5 linked regions of the Danio rerio genome follow. The protein of the gene in region 1 purifies or fractionates together with the protein of each later gene. This does not show direct contact. Links are inferred from orthologs where the notes say so. Each region holds a gene or a part of one and is shown in the gene's direction. Other genes may lie near its edges. The genes, in order: mepceb, ybx1, lsm4, ccnt1 and mettl16.

What was found.
Region 2: the proteins of mepceb (region 1) and ybx1 purify together in Homo sapiens (affinity purification with mass spectrometry; 3 studies listed by BioGRID and IntAct, with this or other methods). This does not show direct contact. The link is inferred for Danio rerio from reciprocal best matches to the Homo sapiens genes MEPCE and YBX1.
Region 3: the proteins of mepceb (region 1) and lsm4 purify together in Homo sapiens (affinity purification with mass spectrometry; 3 studies listed by BioGRID and IntAct, with this or other methods). This does not show direct contact. The link is inferred for Danio rerio from reciprocal best matches to the Homo sapiens genes MEPCE and LSM4.
Region 4: the proteins of mepceb (region 1) and ccnt1 purify together in Homo sapiens (affinity purification with mass spectrometry; 3 studies listed by BioGRID and IntAct, with this or other methods). This does not show direct contact. The link is inferred for Danio rerio from reciprocal best matches to the Homo sapiens genes MEPCE and CCNT1.
Region 5: the proteins of mepceb (region 1) and mettl16 purify together in Homo sapiens (affinity purification with mass spectrometry; 3 studies listed by BioGRID). This does not show direct contact. The link is inferred for Danio rerio from reciprocal best matches to the Homo sapiens genes MEPCE and METTL16.

The regions. Positions count from the first base shown.
Region 1 is NC_133198.1:47,984,941-47,989,793, forward strand, and holds the start of mepceb (7SK snRNA methylphosphate capping enzyme-like), read left to right. Parts: upstream 1-1,852; 5' UTR 1,853-2,342; intron 2,343-2,418; 5' UTR 2,419-2,428; coding exon 2,429-3,919; intron 3,920-4,853. UniProt on the Homo sapiens protein: S-adenosyl-L-methionine-dependent methyltransferase that adds a methylphosphate cap at the 5'-end of 7SK snRNA (7SK RNA), leading to stabilize it.
Region 2 is NC_133183.1:56,873,919-56,877,520, reverse strand, and holds part of ybx1 (Y-box-binding protein 1), read left to right. Parts: intron 1-118; coding exon 119-152; intron 153-234; coding exon 235-324; intron 325-2,066; coding exon 2,067-2,387; intron 2,388-2,475; coding exon 2,476-2,561; intron 2,562-3,602. UniProt on the Homo sapiens protein: DNA- and RNA-binding protein involved in various processes, such as translational repression, RNA stabilization, mRNA splicing, DNA repair and transcription regulation.
Region 3 is NC_133186.1:6,965,753-6,970,601, reverse strand, and holds the start of lsm4 (U6 snRNA-associated Sm-like protein LSm4), read left to right. Parts: upstream 1-1,877; 5' UTR 1,878-1,992; coding exon 1,993-1,995; intron 1,996-3,763; coding exon 3,764-3,805; intron 3,806-4,706; coding exon 4,707-4,805; intron 4,806-4,849. Other genes in the region: probable ATP-dependent RNA helicase DDX49, read left to right, coding at 375-446, 561-704. UniProt on the Homo sapiens protein: Plays a role in pre-mRNA splicing as component of the U4/U6-U5 tri-snRNP complex that is involved in spliceosome assembly, and as component of the precatalytic spliceosome (spliceosome B complex).
Region 4 is NC_133198.1:38,760,318-38,764,540, forward strand, and holds part of ccnt1 (cyclin-T1), read left to right. Parts: intron 1-118; coding exon 119-179; intron 180-2,439; coding exon 2,440-2,665; intron 2,666-2,918; coding exon 2,919-3,082; intron 3,083-3,202; coding exon 3,203-3,273; intron 3,274-4,223. UniProt on the Homo sapiens protein: Regulatory subunit of the cyclin-dependent kinase pair (CDK9/cyclin-T1) complex, also called positive transcription elongation factor B (P-TEFb), which facilitates the transition from abortive to productive elongation by phosphorylating the CTD (C-terminal domain) of the large subunit of RNA polymerase II (RNA Pol II).
Region 5 is NC_133190.1:27,742,856-27,747,849, reverse strand, and holds the start of mettl16 (RNA N(6)-adenosine-methyltransferase mettl16), read left to right. Parts: upstream 1-1,912; 5' UTR 1,913-2,180; intron 2,181-2,739; 5' UTR 2,740-2,750; coding exon 2,751-2,878; intron 2,879-4,994. UniProt on the Homo sapiens protein: RNA N6-methyltransferase that methylates adenosine residues at the N(6) position of a subset of RNAs and is involved in S-adenosyl-L-methionine homeostasis by regulating expression of MAT2A transcripts.

The DNA.
Region 1 (4,853 bases):
AAGAAACCAGTCTGAGATGATTGAGCTTTATGACATGCTGCGTTATCCTGCTGGAAGAAGCCATCAGAAGATGGAGACACTGTGCTCATAAAGGGATGGACATGGTCAGCAGCAATACTCAGGTAGGCTGTGGCGTTGATGCTCAATTGGTACTAATAAACCCAAAGTGTGGCAAGAAAATCTCCCCCACACCATTACACCACCACCACCAGCCTGAACCGCTGATACAAGGCAGGATGATCCATGCTTTCATGTTGTTGAGGCCAAATTCTGACCCGATCATCTGAATGTGGCAGCAGAAATGGAGACTTATCAGAGCAGCAACGTTTCTCCAATCTTCTATTGTCCAGTTTTGGTGAGTCTGTGTGAATTGTAGCCTCAGTTTCCTGTTCTTAGCTGACAGGAGCGGCACCCGGTGTGCTCTTCTGCTGCTGTAGCCCATCCGCCTCAAGGTTGGTCGTGTTGTGTGTTCAGAGATGCTCTTCTGCAGAGCTCGGTTGTAACGAGTGCTTATTTGAGTTACTGTTGCCTTTCTATCAGCTGGAACCAGTCTGGCCATTCTCCTCTGGCATCAACAAGGCATTGTTGGCACATGCTGCCTTGTGATTGGCTGATTAGAAATTTGCGTTAACGAGCAGTTGGACAGGTGTACCTAATAAAGTGGCCGGTGAGTGTATATGTAGGGGAGAAGTCAAAAATACATTGAATTAGTCAAAATTATTTTTTATTCTATGCCAAAAATCATTAGTATAAGTGATCATCATCATACATCGAGACGTTTTATACATGTCTATATTGTAAATATATCAAAACTCATTTTTTGAATAGTAAAATACATTGCTAAGACCCTAATTTGGACAACTTTAAAGGTGATTTTCTCAGTGTATAATACCATTATCTACCTTCAAATTTCAGAATAGTCATTTTAATTTATTCATATGTTATCAAAAATAGTTCATTTTGGCATTAAAAAAGACATACCTAGGGGAATGCTTATTTATTCAGCTTATTTTTCTAAAACTCAACACTTATGACTTGTTTTGTGTTCCAGGGTCACATATATGACACTCTTATTGTAATATATTTCTATACCTTTAGTTAGCTATCTCTTCTTCTCTCTTGTCTGTAAATAAGCTAAATGTGTGTAATTTAGGCCATTTACACCAGTCCTGCCAAACAAAAATAATGATTTAATAATGCATACACTGAATCCACTGACTCAAGTGGGTTTTCTTTCACAATAATCAAAATAATGAATCATATTATGCTGTTATTTTCTTGTTTTTGGCAACAGGTTCAGATCAAAAGGACTACATCTCCCAGAAGTCTCCTCCTCCTGCAGCAGAGTGGGAGGGTCTCTTTAAAACTCGCAGAGGCGCTAATTCCATACGATATAAAATGCTAATATGACATAAGTCATGTTTTATTAGTTATCCGATCATTAGTCGTTGTTATAAGCGTAAATTCAGCGCGGAAGAACTCTCACAGGGGTTGTTTACACATGTGACGACTGCCTGTTTCGAGTTCCCGAACGTTCTCCAAAGCAGAATTATGGGATTCTGCTCAAACACATACTCTTGTTAAATAAACAAATGCATTTTGTCGTCAATTTGTTATATTTTACTGATTTTGACGATAATATTTAGTGTCTAACGGGTCAATTCAGGCAGTCCGCTGGATACCTATTAAAAGAGGAGGGGCGGTGACTGCGAGCACATGCCTTCATTTAAAGCTCCGCCATTGGTTGTTCGAGGGGCCTTAACGTATATCGCGCTTTCTGATTGGCAGACGCGACTGTCCGTCAGGCTTGGTCTGTGGTGGAATATATAAGCGCGCTGGTCTGCTGTGCCACAGGGCGAGATGGAGCACTGCGAGTTCAAGCGCTCATGAACATTCGACAGATCAAAGTCTATTTTTAATCAGCACCATTTTAGCAAAGTGTTTTTCATATCTGCAGTAGCGCGAGTCAAGTGCAGCTGTGTGTTTACGTAGCTCTAATGAGCGCGGGTCTGTGTACATAGTGTGTCGTGTGCGCTGTTTTTGTTTGATTTTTGGCGTTCGTGTTTACTCTCAGCGCGAGAGAGCCGGAGAAAATATCTCGCTCAGTACTGTGTGTGTGTGTCTGTGTTAACGGACGTGTGCGTTTGTGTCGGAAAGGGGGGGAGCTTTCGAGAGTCGCGTTTCCGTTGCATTATTCATGAGCGTCGCGGTAGCCCCGCCCATAGGCGGAGTTAGTTAAATTAACGCGCCGTGGAGCTGTTAGATGAGCCAAATGTAACACGTGGGTCACAAGCACATCAGTGCCCATAAAACAATACAGAAAGCAGGCTCAGAGTAGTCAAGTAAGTACTCATCTGCAAGCGTCACACATTTATATCTTGTATATTGTACTTGAATGGTGTGTTTCTGTGTTTCCAGCGGCTGATGGATGTCTACTGTGATGTCAGTGCAAAGTGAGCTTCCTATTGCTGGTGGGGCAGCAGGTTTACTGGCCCACCCGCCGTCCCCACTGCAGACCATTAAAGATGAGGTGACCGCTAACATTGTGCTAACCGAACTCGCAGCCAATCACGTGACCCCACAGGATGGGGTTACCGCCGAGGGGCCCTTTCAGATTAAAAATGGCCTACAAACTCGAACTGAAGTGCAGACGCAGAAACTGGCGCAGAAGCGGCGCTACAGTATGAACGTGGCGTTCAAACATCCGAGTCTCGGTAAGCGAAGACGCCGCGCCAATTCTGAATGCGATCCTGTGCTTCCTACTAACTTCCTGCTGGGCGGGAATATATTTGATCCGTTAAACCTCAACAGCCTATTGGACGAGGAGGTCAGTAAAGCGCTTAATGCCGAAACGCCCAAATCATCGCCACTCCCCTCTAAAAACCGAGACCCGGTGGAGATTCTCATCCCGAAAGATATTACAGACCCGCTGAATTTAAGCGGCAGGGGCGGAGATTCGGCTGCCGGTGTGTTGGTTTCTCCAATGAAGATCAGACGCAGACACCGCAACCGCCATCATCCTGGAGCGACCACAGGCGTTGCCGACCAATCAGATTGTGAGAAGTCAAAAACCAATGAAACGACATTATTTCCTGTAGCTAATCCTGAAGAGGCTGCGAACAGTGCCGTTCTTCCGCCTGTCGAGGAGTCGCCGCGTCCGTATGAGCTCAACACCTCGATTAATTGCCGCGATGAAGTGGTGCAACCTATTCTGCCACGGCGTAAGTCACACCCCTCTGCGTCTAGCTCCGCCCCTCAATTACTCTCTAGGTCCGCCTCTGCGCCCCATCCGTCCAAACATCGGAAGCGCAGACGAACTGTCAGTCGCTCGGACTCTCGCCTGTCAATCACACCAACTCCGCCCACCAAGCGGCTAATCACACACACTCAAACCTTTCACACTCCAGTTATAGGCGGAGCCAGCGGAGCTCCTCCCTTGGGGGCGGAGCGAAGCCATGAACAGCAGCGCAGGCCGCGGCGCAAATACCATAATGGAGCCTACAGCCGTTACTATGGCTACCGCACACCATCGATGACCGACGACCCACGATTGGCTCTTTTTAATCCCGAATGGTTCTCTGGAAAAAAAGTTCTAGATGTGGGCTGTAACACGGGTCATGTGACCCTTGCCATCGCCAAACACTGCAGCCCCGCCCACATCCTGGGCTTGGACATTGATGGCGCGCTGGTGCAAGCCGCCCGCCAGAACCTGCGCCATTTCCTGTCGGAGCTGCAGGACAGGCAGCAGGCGGGAGCAGGTGAGGGGTCAGAGGTCACGGGGCTGGTGCCGCTGATGGACCTGCAGCTGGTGTTACCCAGGTTTCCTGTCTCCTTCATGCGCTGCCGCGGACCCATCGCCGCTCCTCCCATAATGCATCAGTCTCCAGGCCAGTTCCCCAGCAACGTCTGCTTCCTGAAGGTACACTAACATAGCTGAAGCAGCAGATCTTCCTGACGTGTGTGTGTGTGTGTGTGTGTGTGTGTGTGTGTGTGTGTGTGTGTGTGTGTGTGTGTGTGTGTGTGTGTGTGTGTTATTGGATGTATAATTAATGTTTGGATTTTGCACACACAAACATCTGTCTGTATTTCTATATATGGAATCTATCTATCTATCTATCTATCTATCTATCTATCTATCTATCTATCTATCTATTCATCCATTCATCTATCTATCTATCTATCTATCTATCTATCTATCTATCTATCTATCTATCTATCTATCTATTCATCCATTCATCTATTTATCTATCTATTCATCCATTCATCTATTTATCTATCTATCCATCCATCCATTCATCTATCTATCTATCTATCTATTCATCTATCTATCTATTCATCCATTTATCTATCTATCTATCTATCTATCTATCTATCTATCTATCTATCTATCTATCTATCTATCTATCTATCTATCTATTCATCCATTCATCTATTTATCTATCTATCCATCCATCCATTCATCTATCTATCTATTCATCTATCTATCTATTCATCCATTCATCTATCTATCTATTCATCTATCTATCTATTCATCCATTCATCTATCTATCTATCTATCTATCTATCTATCTATCTAACTCTATTCATCTATCTATCTATCTATCTATCTATCTATCTATCTATCTATTCATCCATTCATCTATCTATCTATCTATCTATCTATCTATCTATCTATCTATCTATCTATCTATCTATCTATCTATCTATCTATCTCTCTCTATTCATCCATTCATCTATTTATCCATTCATCTATCTATCTATCTATCTATCTATCTATCTATCTATCTATCTATTCATCCATTCATCTATCTATCCATCCATCCATCCATCCATATCTGTCCGTCCGTCCGTCC
Region 2 (3,602 bases), on another chromosome or scaffold:
CCTGACATGCACTAGCATGCTAATATTTATCCAAATATTTAACTTGCTGCTCAACTGAACATGCTTGTTTACACTAAGTCCTCGGCTTTTAATGTTTTCACTTTCTTTATTTTTGCAGGAATGACACAAAGGAAGATGTCTTTGTGCATCAGGTGATTATTTTCTCCAGTTTTCTTTTTATATTTGTGTTGGGGTAGATGTATTTTTTTCTGATTGCCTTTGTTTTCTGTCTAGACCGCCATTAAAAAGAACAACCCCAGGAAATATCTCCGTAGCGTTGGGGACGGAGAGACTGTGGAGTTCGACGTGGTAGAAGGGGAGAAGGTGAGCTTTTAGTCGTAGCTTAGTTTGACTCAAACAAAAGTTTCACCACACAGTTAGAAATATTAGGCTTGAGGACTTGTTTAATAAAAGTCAAGGACAAATTATTTATTGAGAAATGTATTATTTCTTTCTTGCTTTTATGTAGTACTAGTCAAGCTTTGGGCTTTAAATTAAAATGCATTAAACAGCACAAAATCATAACACAGATGTCAAACTCAATCCTGGAGGGCCGCAGCTCTGCTCAGTTTAGTTCCAACGCTAATTAAACACACATGATAGAACTGAGTCCTTCAAGCTTGTTTAATACATACATGCAAGTGTGTTGAAGCAGGGTTAAAACTAAACAGTTCCTGGTGGGTTGCAGTCCTGTATGGAGTTTGACACCCCTGCCTTGACTTTAATTGACTTTTCGATAGGGGTGGCTGAATATCTTGACTCTTGAATATGTGGAAACTTCACTAGACGCTGCTTGACCGTGTAAGCAGAGTGTTTATTTCTATATTATAACACTTTGTCAGTCGCCATTTCCTAAATGTTCACTCAAGCCTTTTATTGGAGACGTTTACTAGAGCACTTCACAATTCTTTTATTTAAACTGCTTTGTTAGTTTTATACTCTGTTTGTTTACTGAAAGAACTCTGTTGTCAACAAAGACTAAAGCTGAACTGAAATAAATTTTTCACAATAAATGAAAATAAAACTAAATAAAACTAATAAGTCACTGAAAAATGAACCAAAACTGAAAATATTAATTAGCAAAAATAATAGTTTTCAGAGCTAATCAATTGTGTCCGTGAGGTCTTGAATTTCTCTAAATTATTAACTTTGCGTTTAAGACTTTAAGGGCCTTAAAGTATTGTTTCAATTTAACTTTTGCATCATGTTTGAGTATAGGGTTGTTTGATTATAGTTGTATACTAAAGTTTTAAATGTTGTGATGCTGTGTAGTTTATGAAGTTGATAGTCCTGCTGTATTTGATGTCACACTGCTTTGTTTACTGCAGTAATGAAGGCAGCACACTGTTCTATAGGTGACATCTTCTGGATTAACATTGTTAAAGTATATGAATGATGTTTTAGTTTAGGACTAGTTTCTTACAGTCAATATTTAGTGAATCTATTTAATGTCGCCAATGTTATTGGTTCAGACTTGGTGGCGATGAGGTCTTCATGTTTGGTGATACCTGTTGGTTGTCAAGTGCATGATGTACCAAAAAACTAAAACGTATCAGTTTTTGTTATCTGCCAAAATTTGTTAACTATACATGTTGATACTTTTAATATGATGTTTCTCACTTTCATGCCAAACAACAGTTTATGATTTTGCTAATTTTTTTAAGTTGAATTTATATGGTGTTTCTGTTCAAGTCCAAAAAAAAAAAAAAAGCGGTGAAAACATTTGCTTAACTCTAGGTGTGTGAGAATTGCCAAAACTGAAACTAAATGTGTAAGAACAAAATGAAAATGTTGACAGCAAATTAAAAGCCAAACTAAAACTAACAAAGCCATTAATAAAAATGATAAGCTGAAATTCAAAATCAGAGAGGTTATGTCATCAGAACTACTAAAATAATTCTCTGCGTATCCTAAATAAAAATGCTTTGAAGCCGATATTGATTAAGCATCATATTTCTGGCCAGACTCTGAATGACTTACTGGAAAATTCTGCATCCATTATCTAAAGCAACAGCCCATCTATTAAATTAGCGGACACTTGATCTGCATTGTCTTCATTCTGTCAGGGGGCTGAGGCAGCAAATGTTACCGGCCCGGGTGGCGTTCCTGTGCAGGGTAGTAAGTATGCAGCTGACAGGAACCGTTACAGGCGGTACCCACGCAGGAGGGCCCCACCTCGCGACTACCAGGAGAACTATCAGAGCGACCCTGAGGCAGAGCCCCGGGAGAAGAGAGAGGGGGCAGAGAGCGCCCCCGAGGGGGAGATGCAGCAGCAGCAGCGCAGACCCACTTACCCCGGCAGACGGCGCTACCCACCATACTTCGTGCGGAGGCGTTACGGCAGACGCCCCCCCTACACCAACTCACAAAGAGGAGAGATGACAGAGGTATGCTTTTGGTGATGCCTGAGCATCAGTCAGTAAATTAAATTGGAAGCTGCTTTTTTGACTGATGGATGCTTTTCTTGAATTTTAGGGTGGTGAAGGTGAAGAGAACCAAGGGGGTCCAGACCAGGGCAACAAACCAATGAGGCAGAACTACTACAGAGGCTTCCGACCAAGGTTTGTATGTCATAAGAGGAACAATACTGCTGCTGGACTTTGGAGATCTTTCAGATATTCATGATTTTCATTATTTAAGTTTTCTTTTTCTATTGTTTTAATTAAGTATTAATTTAGCAATTCTATTTATTTATTTTTTTAATAGAATGATCCACCCCAAATTACAAGTTTCCTGATAAATTACTCTTGGGTCATTGAAGTAGGCCTGTCACGATCAATATATAGACTTACTGCACAACACATGGACTTGACCTCGATCATTTTTGGTGATGCAGTATATATCGCCCATACATAATCAGTTCTAGCAACGTTTTAACTGAGCAGCCTCTTTATGGTTCTAAACATTGTAGTAATTCCTAGAGTATATTTTTATGTGGATGACTGACAGCTGAAAATAGATCTGCTAACATATCACAGACTTTGTTACTTATTACCTTGCACTTTTATTCTATTTAAATTTTTTGTTAACATTTTATTGTTTACAATATGCGTTTCACACTTTTTGATTCCAGTGCCTGATTATTAAATAGTTAAAATGGCAATTAAACAATCTTAAGAATAAATTGTGTTCTTTGGAAGTGTATTTGTTTTGTGGTTAATATATTGTCATTCTGGCATTATTTAATAAAAGGCTTTTAAAATGACAATAATATTGTTTATCACTATACATTTTGGTTCAAAATGTTGTTTAACAAAAAAATAGATATTGTGACAGGCCTACGTCTAAGATGTAGATGACTTAATTTTTCTTCTCCTTTTTAGCTAAATCTGTGGTCTTTGGGGATTTTATATTAGAGCAGTAAATGGTTCTGGGTTTTCTAGAATAAAAATAAAAGCATACAAAAGAGTCAATCAATATCTCTGTGCAAGTGTGACTAGTCTTTATGATTTGATTTGTCATTTTTGATCTTGATTTATGAAAGTGCAAAGGCACTCATTCAAACAAGTGATGCAGTTTTTGTATTTTGATGACTGACTAGAGTCGCACATGCACCAAGAACTGTTTTTAGCTTTCTACAGTGCGGTCAAACACTGTAAAGG
Region 3 (4,849 bases), on another chromosome or scaffold:
TTTATTATTAAGTTAATTGAGTCTTTACAAATTCCTCCATCAAAGATGAGACCTTTTATCAATGTTTACATTTTAAACGAGTGGCAAGAAGAATGGGATGCATTGGAAAATTATAAATTATATGAAATTCAACCTGAAATCTCACACAGAAGACATTTTAAGACTAGATTTGATCAAGTTGTTTTTACTAGATGTTGTATTGGACAGAAGAATAACCCATGTTTTTTGTTCCAAGGTGAAAACCCTAAGAAGTCAAGTTATTATTTGTTGTTCCTAAAACTTAAATAGGCGACAAGACTTTTGTCAGGTAGAATATATACACTTATATATCTAAAGCATGCTATAAAGTTTTACAATTGTTAATTCTTTTATAGAAATTAGAGTCGACAGATTTTGATGAGAAAAAGAAGATAAACAAAAGGAAGCAGATGATTCTGGATGGAAAAGTGAGTTATTTTTAAAAAAAACTTGTATATTTGTATGTTTCTTATAAAGTATTTTTGTGTACATGCATAATTTTACAATTTTTTTTCCTTGATTTAATTTTAAATCTATTGCAGGATCCTGATTTGGAAGAAAAAAGGAAAAATGAATTAGAGAAGATCCGAGGAAAAAATAAGAAACTCAAAGGAAAAAACCCCCAGAGCAAAAAGGAAAAGAAAAAACATGAGAAAAGTGCAAAAGCGACAGAAGTTGGCTCTTAATTTCCTCTCTTTTGTACAATTTAATATTATGTATATAGCGTGAATATGCTTATATTTAATAAACATGTGATGCAGTGTTGACTGTGTTGCTACATGAATGAATGAATCTGTGTTGATTTTTTTATTTTATTTTATTTATTGCTTTTTTCTGTGATTTCCTACATCTTTTGGGTTTAAAATTTTTTTTCACAATTTAGAGTTTTTACACTTTTTTTTTATTTTATAGCATGTCCACTGTAGTGGACCACAGGACCATTTTAGATAGAGGTAAAGCTGTTTTTCTATTCACATATTCCTTTATTTAGAAGTCTCTATATTGTTTACCATGTTACTTTGAATATTCGATCGGAATTAGCATGCAAGTCTGACTTCTAAACAACATTAACACTATCTAAATCACTGTAAACAATGCTGTACTTTAATAATCATTGGCTACTAATACGATTTCCCAATTTAAAATTTGCTAAGAAAACTTTTCTAAAATTATATTACTAAGGGGAAAGTCTGAATGCGAATATAAAACCAACTTTACCTCTATCCATTTTGGTTCAAAACAACCGCCAAACTCGGACAACAAAACTCTACAGGATATGGCTGTAAAGGGATATTAATCCAATATCAATGTAACAAAAAGAAAACAAAAGCCATTTTTTCCTTTTGTGTTGAAATTCCTGAAACAGTTTAGTCTAAAAGAGAGCCAAACTCAAAAGAAAAAAAGAGGTGATGTTAATTCAAAACAAATTTAACATAAAAGGTATTTATTTAATTGTCTGATTGTCAGACTTTAAATCCGAGTCTCCCTCAACTATCTTATAAAGAATCCTTTCTGCTTCCATTCTGCCCCTACAACATGCAGTCATTAATTACATTAATATGGTCCTGGTGTCCTTGAAACTTTCTGCATGAAGGACTCATAAATGGCAGATTAACCTGCTGCTGGATGATGTGTGGATGATTTACACGGGGCATAACTAAGCAACACAGCGATCTGTTAAGGAGGAAGTAGTAAGTCTCAAAGCTTGCATACTCTTTTGTTGCACACTCAAAAGTATAAACTTTTCCTTTACAAAAAAGTACATACTTTTTAGGGCGTAGTATAAATATGTGATTTGGGACGCAGCGTTTTGGGACTTTTGCTTTGACAACTTCCGCTTTCACCTGGAAGTACAACAGTAAGTGGTTTGCAGATCGCCTTGTGCTGCGAAGAAGATTCACAGAAAATCATTTGTGATTGAAGTCTTCAGTGGATTAAAACTTCATATAAAGACTGATTGGTCATTCAGCTGACATGGTGAGATGAAGTCGATAAACTTACTGGCTAACGTTAGTGAAATTAAGATTTTCCGCTGTGTTTATTGGATGATCTGTAGGTCGGTTAACACCGATTACGCGCAGAAACAAAGCGTTGTGTAAACGTTTTATTTGGGTGTATACACGAATCTTTACAAGCACGTTACGTACTTATTTAGTAAAATAGATAAAATTAGTTAAAAATCAATGTAGACGGCTATTATACATTTATTACTCTATTAAATTATCTCTACAGACATGCGAGGAACTTCAGAAGTCAGAAAGGTTTTGGCGTAGTTTTATCAAGAATATCCAAAGTCGGTTTTATATTCGCACATTCGTTCAGTGACAACTTGTGACATGCTCCCTACCTTGTTTACCATGGTACTTTAAACATTTGGTCTAAAATCACATGCAAGTATACTTGTGTATATGACTTGAAAACATCATTAGTGACCAGCCCGTCAACAACCATGCCACCTTCATAGTCACTTAAATCCCCTTTCTTCCAGCTTTCTGATGCTCGATTTAAACTAACGTTACAGCAGATCATCTTGACCATGTGTACATTCCTGAAGGCATTTCGATTCCGCCATGTGATTGGCTGATTAGAAATTTACGTTAATGAGCAGTTCGACTGGTGTACCTAATAAAGTGGACAGTGAGTGAATGTTTAAAATATATAAGCAATGGTACCTAAATAATCAAGTAAATCATCTTGCATATAGAGGTAAGTTTAGTTTTATATTCGCATATTCAGACTTTCCCCTTAATAATATAATTATAGAAAAGTATTCTTTGCAAATTCTAAATTGGAAAATCAAATTAGCAGCCAAATGATTATCAAAGTACAGCATTGTTTACAGTCAATTAGATGGTGTTAATGTTGTTTAGAAGTCATGTTTGCACGCTAATTCCGATCAAATATTCATGTTAAACATTATAGGGACTTCTAAATGAACGAAAATGCGAAAATAAAACTAACTTTACCTCTATATCTTACGTCAATAGTTTTTTTTGCATTATTATATATGCAGCAGAGAATGCAATTCGCTCCTGTTATGGCTTATATGAATAACAGGACTGAGTTTTTAACATTTAATGATCAAATACATGCTAAATGCTGTACGCTGTAATCTCTCGGCTGTGTATTTTAAACATGGCAGGTTTTTTGTTTTCATTCTGGCTTATTGCGTAGACGAATGACGTATTTCTGTAAACCTAGAACATTCAGTTGCACATCTAGCTCCGCCTTTTGGTACCCTTTCTCGTGTTTGGTATCCTTTCGAAATGGTGCCTAAGAAGTGGTACAGTTCGGTTCGCCTTTTGACAGTGCAAATGGCCATAAAAGCGTACCAAACCGAACCGTACCACTCAGTGAAAACAGGCCATAAGCGATTTGTTTTTCAAATATTTGCTGAATCGTGGGCTAACCGGTGTCTTGAGATGTAGAGGGTCCTTTTCTGCTGGAGATAGTGTTGCTAAATGAAAACTAAATGAAATCAAACAATCAAACAAAACTTGCATATAACATAGAAAAAATATCTGAAAAATAATAGCAATTTTAAAATTTTAAGTTTTCCAAACCGCTGTTAACCTTGAACCCAGTTATTGTCCTATATGCTCAGTCCAGGGTCACATATTCTGGTTAGTGAGTGTAATCTCCAATTGAATAACAATTAACAATATTCCATTGTGAGCACAGAAGAAACTCTTCATTTACTCTGTTGTTAGCATGACCACTCGAATTCTTTCTTTTTCTTTTCTAGCTCCCGTTATCTTTACTGAAGACGGCACAGAACCACCCGATGGTGAGTATCAAGCAGCTCACTTCATGCGTGCATCTTTATTGTCAGCACGAAGTTAAAGGTGCCATGATCAGGGATCATACTGTCCTGAAAAGTCATGGAATTTTGACAAGGCATTTTCCAGGCCTGAAAATGATTTGGAAAAACAAATAAACCCAAAATGTTATAACGATGGTTTGTTCTGTAGACTATTAGAAAGATATATAGCTTAAAGGGGCTAATAATATTGTCCCTAAAATGTTTTTTTATTTATTTAAAACTGCTTTTATTTAAGTAAAACAAATAGGACTATATATATATATATATATATATATATATTTATTTATATATATATATATATATATATATATTTATTTATTTATATATATATATATATATATATATATAGTACTTCAATTAAGAGCAGAGAGGGATTTTCTCGTTGTTTTATTAATTATGATAAAACAGGCGGCAGCTATTGTGCTCTGTCACTTTAATGGTTTCGCTTTCACGCGTCATTTGATTCTCAACTCATTTGTTTATTACACAAATGAGGGTTAATATGAATAATCACTAAATACTGCGTTTTGACACCTGTTTGAACATTAAAGCGCTCACGTTAATGACTTTAGATGTGTGTGCTCTCTGCTCGTCGCAATGTGCGAATAAGACCAACTGCTGACCGCATGCTTCTGACTGTGTCTGTGCGGCGCACACACACAAGCATGTGGTCTTTCGCGCTTTTAAGAGCAACAAGTGAGGACAATTGGACGGGGGCGGTAAATAATGGAATAATCGTTTATCTCGATTAATGTTTTTTTATAATCGTTAGAAGCCGAAATCGAATTTTCGATTAATTGCACAGCCCTAAAATGAAGTGCTGAACAATAATTGAGCTTTTAAGTTAATCTGCTTTTCTTTTCAGCTGGTTGAGTTAAAGAATGGCGAGACATACAACGGCCATCTGGTCAGCTGCGACAACTGGATGAATATAAACTTGAGAGAAGTTATTTGCACTTCACGGGTAAATACGACTTCATTCAGATGAAAACGTCTTTGGGAGACTAT
Region 4 (4,223 bases), about 9.2 Mb from region 1:
TTGTATGATAAGATGCTCATTGGCTTGGGTCAAAAACAGGGTCGTAGTAATGTGATGAGAGCGTGTAGTCCTTGACCAAGAGACCATGTGAGTAACCTGCCTGTCCTCTCAATCTCAGACATACCTGCAACAAGCCCAAGACCTGGTCATTCTTGAGAGCATAATACTCCAGACCCTGGGTAAGTTTGGAAAGGAGAGAATGGGTCAGTGAATCACCATGCTAGAGAGATGCACCAATGACCACATTTGTTCCCATTCACTGATAATTCACAGGAGTCTACAGGACTATTGAGCATCATCACCATGCCAATCTGGCCGCTCACCCTTTCTGTGGTTTTACAAAGGCTTTAATTTTTGTGCTAAGAGTATAATCTTGACTACTACACTAAGGACTAAGGGTAATAATATACCAGTATCAGCCTCAATCTGCTTAAAAAAAGCTTGTATGCATTATTGTGTGCAAAAAAAAATCAAATGCACTACTTGGTTAAAATGTGTGACTGCCAAAGACAGGAAATAATATTTGTCACTAATAGTTTTATCTTTGTACTATATATGGGTCAAAGACTAGAGGTCCCATTTTGGAGTCCACTACTGCGCATCAAACACATTTTCAAAATGCAAGTAATGAATCTTCTTATGTATTTATTTATATTAGGGCTGCGCAATATACTGTTTCATTATCAATATCACAATGTGCGCATCCGCTACAGTCACATCGCAAGATTTGCAATGTTAAGTCTGAATTATAGTTGAACAGAAACTATAGAATTGTATTTAATCAATGTATGTCTATGGAATTTAAATGAGTTTTGCTAACAAAAAAGTGTTTTTCTTGCTTCAAATTTTTGTCTTGTTTCCAGTCCAAATATTTACATTTCAAAAGGAAAGCAAGTTTATTGTACTTGCCCCACTGGCAGATAGTTTAGCTTGCTTTAACTCTTAAATTAAGTTAAAGACAATACAATATTTTTGCATGCTCCAAGAATTTTTGGATGCTTGGATTAGAAATCAGTCAAAGCAAAGTAAGAAAAGCTTTTTTTGCATTGTGATTATTTCATTTTTGTACCTGAATACTATTAGACTCCCAGATAACCATCAAATAGTGCTATTCAAACTATCTTGTGAAACACAGAAATATAGCAATATCAGATTTTTCCCATGTCGTGCAGCCCTTATATATATATATATATATATATATATATATATATATATATATATATATATATATATATATAAATATATTATATATATATATATATATATATATATATATATATATATATATATATATATATATATATATATATATATATATATATATAAATAATCAAATATATTAATATATAAATGTCAAAATAAAACTCTTGCTCCATCGTCATTAAGTAACATGCTAATTTTGTACACCCAGTGGGTCATAGGACTGCTGATTACCAAATTAAAGCATTTTATAGCTGCATGGAGATCCTTAAAAGTACTGTTTCGTGTCCTGGGCATGTAAAACTTTCATCAGTTGATTCTTATATGGTTATATGAAGTTTTTTTTTCATATAAACTGTTACACTGAATGACATTTTAATGGGTGACTTTTGTAAGCCATTGAAAATTGTGATAAATTTTTGGCTCTAAAATAACCAGGACACATTCTGATGATGTCTTCGACCCATATACAGATAAGTTTGAGTGATGTAAACTATAACAATGGACCTAACTTAATTTCTGTATTACATTTTTAATTTCCATAGCTTCCAAAAATCCAGAAATGTCCACACATTGATAATGTTATGACAGCTGTTTTAACGTTAAGATATGATTAAATCGGCTCTAGTTACAGTTATGAAATAGTTTGACAGCAAGCAGGAAAAGTTAATGGGCCAATGACATTACATATACCAAAATAAAATACACCATATTAAAATGGTCTATAAGATAAATCACAGTTTATCTTTCTGACTGGAAAAAATATGATTTTAATTGTTGTGTTTTATTGTTTAATTCTTTTTATAGTGTGCAGTTTTCCAATATTTATCCTTATTCTAGTGCTTATTCATATGAGCTTTACCCTTTCTTATGTAGGACTATTTATATTATATTAAACTGATTATTTAGCTGGTAATCATACCTGCCTACATCATATCATGATAACCCTCAAGTGCACAATTGTGTTTATTTCGCTTTGACTTTGAAAAATTCTGTTCTCATGTTCGTAATGGTGTTTTGGTCTGAGCGTTTTGACTATAACCAAATTGCCCCACAGGCCACTTGCATGGAGCTTTCTCAGATTTCTGACCGCTCAAGCACTGGAAGACCCATGTTTGTGATTCACTCACTCATCCTGTATATTGTGTGTGGGGCTTCATGTCTGAGGAGCCATTACAGTTCAGACGAAAAGCTAAAATAGTGTCTCTCTCTCTCTCTCATCTGCTCTCTTGCGTTCAGGTTTTGAGATCACCATTGATCATCCTCACACACATGTTGTCAAGTGTACTCAGCTTGTGCGAGGTGAGAACCAGCTGCTCACTCTAAACTGTGCTTCGTATTGCTCAGTAAAGGGTACGTCTAGCACACCAAGCTCACAGATTTCACGTCTGATCATGAGCTTTCCTTTTATTGTTCCAGCGAGTAAGGATTTGGCTCAGACTTCATATTTCATGGCAACAAACAGGTATGTCGGCTTTTAAGACCATTACCTTACTACTCTAATACATTTGCTGCCGAATATGTAAACTAGCAAAGTCAAGTACACGATTTGCTGTATGCAAGAAGTGTGAGGTTATATTTACGTTTAACCTTCAACTGGCAAATTAAATGAATTTAGAAGTAATGTCACATGCAATATTGGGTTATTTTTTTTAAATAATACAAGGTTATTAATGGTTTCTCAAATATATGTTTGTTTTTTTCTTGTGTTTTTTCAGTCTTCACTTGACTACGTTCTGTCTGCAGTACAGTCCACCAATTGTAGCTTGTGTTTGTATTCATCTGGCCTGTAAATGGTCCAACTGGGAGATTCCCGTTTCCACAGATGGCAAACACTGGTGGCAGTATGTTGACCCCACTGTGACTCTTGAGCTATTGGATGGTATGTACATCTAGTTTGTTTTTTCTTTTTCTTTTCTTTTTCTTTTTTATGAAGAAATTTAATAAATATTGAGTATTTTTTTGTCCAAATACTAAAAAAAAATGAATTCTTATTTCACAGAGCTCACTCATGAGTTCCTGCAGATCTTGGAAAAGACACCCAGCCGCTTAAAACGCACCAGAAACTGGAAAGTAAGTAGCTTTGCCTCCATTTCTGCATTCATTTACAGATAACTTCTTTGTATTGGATAGGAAGTACGGTTTAGACGTTTGTGAAGGATCAGTAGAGTTGTGAACATCTTTAAAAATGTAAAAAAATAAACTAAAATACTGCAAACAAACATTTTGATCTTAAATAGAGTAAAATCTACTGTTTTGAAGTGTTTAAACAATTATTATACCTTAATTATTAATATCAATGTTTAAATTGAGTGGATCAAAACCTTTTATCAAAGTAGTTTTAAAGCTGTGCACGCAAACAAGGAATTTTTGGTGGGTTTTTTTTTGGCTCAGGATACATACAGTGCATACACACACATATATATATATATATATATATATATATATATATATATATATATATATATATATATATATATATATATATACATATTTATATATATATATATATATATATATATATATATATATATATATATATATATATATATATATATATATATATATATATATATATATATAGACCTCCTCTCCCTCAGTCATCTTTCCATCAAGGAAATTTCATCAGTGCTTCCCACACATAGACTTTACTTTAGTTATAATAATGACTTTACTAAATACTCAGCGGATGAAATTACATCTTAATTGGTTGCAGAATATTTGTACACCATTAGAATTTTTTTTACACTCATTTATCTTTTTTAAATAATATACTTATTACCTGAGAATTTTACAGATTTTTGTCTGTATTTATTCCTTGTTTCTATTATGTATATTATAAAATATTTTATTAATTTGATGTCAATAAATTTATTATTGCATCTAATATGCTTTGGCAATACTGTACAAATTGTCATGCCAATAAAGCAACCTGAACTTGAATGGGAGATAGAGAGAAGTAGATTTTTACCTGTTGCATGGCTCCTAAATAGTATAAAATAGAAAAAGTGTATTTTTTATTT
Region 5 (4,994 bases), on another chromosome or scaffold:
GTTAACATTTGTTGAATCAATTTATATTACCTCAAGCCCAAAATTAAATAGAAAAATTAAGTGATCTTGACCATTCAGAAGACATTGATTAAACCGCTTGAGGCTTACAGATTAGGTTTTAAATCTTTTAAAGCATTTTTGGGAGAATGTACTATTAGTGGAGGGATGGAAGTCTTTGTTTTGATGCAATATCTTCATTTGTGTTTTGAAGATGAGCAAAAGGATTACTTGTTTAGAATAACATGAAGGTAAATGATAATGAATTTACATGTTTAGGTAATCGAAAAATGTTTAAATTGAACCCGCCCCTTTATAACACCTTTAGTGGTTTGACAACAATGATGTCCTGTTTATTTTTGTTTGCCGGAGAGAAGGTTTGCTATTCGCAGTTCCCAAGCAATCCTACTGCAGCACACGCTGGATGAGTTCATGTACAGGCAGACAGACTGGTGAAGGTGGTGTCTGCAGGTTCGCCCTCCCGCCACAGGTTTATCATCAGCTATTACTTTTGTGAATAGATTGGAGGCTTCAGACTTCACAGCTTGAATGGGACTCTGCTTTTTATGGTATCACTGTTCACACAGCCAATTGTTAACAATATATCTGGATGTTATTGTTTGCAACATAATTAAAGAGAAAAAAATACGAATGTTGTGTCTGATGCTGTGTGCGGAGTCAAACAGGGATCATGCGACTCTTCAAATCAGATAGCTAAATGCACATCATTTGTATTATGGGTTTAAGTTTTTTTGGAATTTGAACAACCAAACAGGTCAGAAAAAAAGTGTGCCAGCCTCTTCTGTTTTTGGAAGTTTAGCAGAGTCAGCAATCTTAAGTGTTTGGATGGGAGTGGAAAAATAATGCATGCTTTTTATACAGAGTAGAAGGATTTATCATTTAATGCAAGATACAACGAAGGAACTTGATGCTTATAAAATTAGGAGACTAAAAAGAAATGTACATAATATATAAGGATGTGCAATTAAAAGATTTAATTAAAATTCTTAATTCTTCTGTTTTTTAGTTCTTAAAAGACAGACATCCACATGAGTAAATAATATATATTCAAAGGTATAGGTGTGAGTTTGTGTGGTTTAAGAGTCTTTGTAAAGATGCATAGGAAAGGCTTAATCTAATTTTTTTTTTATTACAGTTGGAAATACAATTAACAGATTATGATAAATGTGGTAATTTCTGATTGTGGGTTTCAAATTTGCATGCGCAATCTAAAGGTAGAAAACAATGAAGTGTTATGGACTTTAAATATGCAAATTAAAATACTATGTAATGTAGATGATTTGAAATACATTTGAGTAGAATGAGCAGCTGAAAAAAAGAAAATTGCTGCCAGGTTCAATAATATGTTCTTCATGTAAAAAAATTACATTAGAAAATTACATTACACATACACGCTCATACTACGCTGCACAGGTGTCACAGTTTAGTTCCAACCTGAACTAAACGCACCTGATCAAACCAATTAGGTCCTACAATTCTGTTTGAAACACAGGGTTGGTGTATTGAAGCAGGGTTGTAAATAAACTGTTGAGCTGCGGCCCTCCAGGAACTGGATTTAACATCTAAAATCAAGACAGCTGATGTTTTTCTGTTTGAAAGTCCAAATGGTTTCAATTATTATTATTTTTTAAAGTTGTACAGAGTATAACTTAATATTTTAGTCGGTTTGTTTGATGTAAGTTTAGATGACTTGAAAATGAAGGCATTTTTACAGTGTACCTGAGGTGATGGTGAAATTACCAGTTATCCTGCACTGCTGCAACTCTCTTCACAGACACTGAAGAAATTGCATGTAAAGAATATATTTTAAATATCTTAAGCATCTCAATTACACGCAGGTGTCAAAAACGAAATGTCACTATTTTTAAATAACTTTATGACACCATAAGCGTTCGCCGACGCTGAATTATGACGACAGCGGAACCCGGGAACAACAACGTTGAGGCAACGTGATTCGCCAATGACAGCTGAATGTGCTGAACACTGAGAAACTACTGAAGTTTTCATCTATCGGTATTCATCTATTCTTATGATTTATCGATGCGTTACACTATCGCATGCGCAGTTTATTACATATGCATGTTTTGTGGTAAAACTGTTAGCTATTTGGCTAGTTTTAGCATCATTTCTCTAGAGATTGTCTACAAACACTTGTGATTTAGGTTCGTATAGTACATTACACCCAAACAAGCGCAGTGACAACGTGGTATTTAACATATCTAACGTTACATATCTTTTATGAACATATCTATTTCGATCTTTTTATAAATATATGTGTTTTGAAAAACAGCATATAAATGTCGCACTTTAATTTTTGGCTTTGCAAAACAAGATTTAAGGGAGGAGTTCACCACAAAATCAGATGTCATTAATTACCCTTGCTCTTGTTTTTTTATTTCTCCCAATCATATGACTGTCTTAGTCCATGTAATATTATACCATGTTAATATGGTAAATATACAATATTTTGTCGTGTATAACTAAAAGAAGGTAGGCACAATGTTAGAAACTGACAGTCTCAGTCACTATTTTGCATATAGTGTAAAGTTAGGTGAATGGTGACTGAATATCTCTATTTGAATCTGTTTACAATGTTCATACAGATACAAAACAGCACGAGAATTATTTTAATTTAGAGGACAAATATCCTTAAGATCTTTTTGGAAATCTGTTTGTGGTTGTTGGTTTTCTGAAGGTGTCATGTTCATTCTGTGTTTGCAGTTTCATGAAGAATGGCGCTGAATAAATCTATGCATCCCCGAAACCGTTACAAGGACAAACCACCAGACTTTGTTTACCTGGCCTCCAAATATCCTGAATTCCAGAAGCACGTGCAGACCACACTGACCGGCAGAGTTACGTAAGTAATGTTGTGCTTTTGTTTTAGGAAAGGTGTCATATGACTTGCTGGAGGCATTATTATGTGAGGTATTAAAAGTGTTGTTCTGTTCTGGCATTGCGAGAGAAAGAGAGACTGATCTGTGAGTCCTCAAAGGATTGTGAACTCTTGTAGAAGACTTTTTTTCTGTTAGGGTTTGACTAGAAGTTACATGTGATTTTAAACGATTATATTTCTGGTAATCACTCTTAAATGTATTAGGTAGTTTCTCATTTCATTATCATATTGATATACATGTATGTAGACTACAGGTAAAAAAAAATTGGTGTGTTTGAGAAAAAAAAAGTAAAAAAAATGTAATCTAATTTTAAAATGAAGTTTCATTTTAATTTCTTTAAAATGTTAATTCTAAAAGTGGTGTTCAAAAATGGCGAGTTATTGTCATTGTTTCTTAATTTTTTTTTTGGTGTAAACTGAGATATCCAAGGAGAATAATAGTTTCACAATTAATAATTTAAAAAGTAGAAAAAAGACTATATAAATATATGAGCAATATCATGCTCGGAGCAGTGCTATGTGGCTGTATGTTGGCACTGGTGGGAGGTGTACATAGAGTGCCACCAGTGATACTATACAGCTACATCGCACTGCTACTAATGTGATGTTGCATTTATACAACAGTTCGATGGCATAATTGTATGTATAAAAAAGAAAATCAAAGACAGAGAGTCTAAAACCTTTTGTTCACATTTGCAGCTGACGTCAGAACAGCAAAAACCATTGCTCATTCACCAACATCACTTTTGAGCTAGAATTTAAATAATTATCTAGTGTATTGTCTAAAGTGACGACAAAACAGGTGATTTTGCTCATATTTTAAGATTATAAGGCTGATAAGCATGAAATGTCATCAGTCTAGAGACATTTCCCAGTATTTCTCTGTTGCTATCGGGAGATCACAATAATTCACTCAGAAAAAACCAAAGCAGCGCAAATACTACCAGACTACTGTTGTGTTTTCAATTAGAACAGATGCTAAGCACATTTCTTTCTTTCTTTCTTTCTTTCTTTCTTTCTTTCTTTCTTTCTTTCTTTCTTTCTTTCTTTCTTTCTTTCTTTCTTTCTTTCTTTCTTTCTTTCTTTCTTTCTTTCTTTCTTTCTTTCTTTCTTTCTTTCTTTCTTTCTTTCTTTCTTTCTTTCTTTCTTTCTTTCTTTCTTTCTTTCTTTCTTTCTTTCTTTCTTTCTTTCTTTCTTTCTTTCTTTCTTTCTTTCTTTCTTTCTTTCTTTCTTTCTTTCTTTCTTTCTTTCTTTCTTTCTTTCTTTCTTTCTTTCTTTCTTTCTTTCTTTCTTTCTTTCTTTCTTTCTTTCTTTCTTCTTTCTTTCTTTCTTTCTTTCTTTCTTTCTTTCTTTCTTTCTTTCTTTCTTTCTTTCTTTCTTTCTTTCTTTCTTTCTTTCTTTCTTTCTTTCTTTCTTTCTTTCTTTCTTTCTTTCTTTCTTTCTTTCTTTCTTTCTTTCTTTCTTTCTAGAACTAGTCTGCAGTAATGGAAAAAAGGAGACTCATTAGAAACAAACAGATGGCCAACCAAAAAGTAACTCGGGGTTATACACAGAGTGGCCAACACAAAATACATATATTCCTAATATGCGAGTCCCATCTGACACTCGATACACTACAATTAAATGGTATAAGTACAGAACTACACGTACAAAAGAGAGAGAACGACTAAGAAGTCACTTACCTGTTTCATAATGATTTGATCAGCTGTAGTTAGAAATTACGCTTGGTTTGTCTTCTCTAAGGGCTTATGCGGTCTCTGTCGCCATCTTGTAGATAGCGCTGTACCTCCAAAATTATAAATATTTAAAATCGGCACTGTCCTTATAAATAAAATCTAAACATTGTTGCCTAAAAAAAAGCCTAAAATTACATTATGTTGTCCAACAGCTGCAATATTTACCAAACTGTAGTGAGTTTATTGATCTGCTGTCACTCTTTGTGGGTGGAGTAATAAAGAAGGGTTAGGGGGCTGAAGGATAGGGATGTCCAAACTCGGTCCTGGAGGGCCAGAGTCCTGCAGATTTTAGCTCCAACTTGCCTCATCACACCTGCAAAGATGTTTCTAGAAAGCCTGGTAAG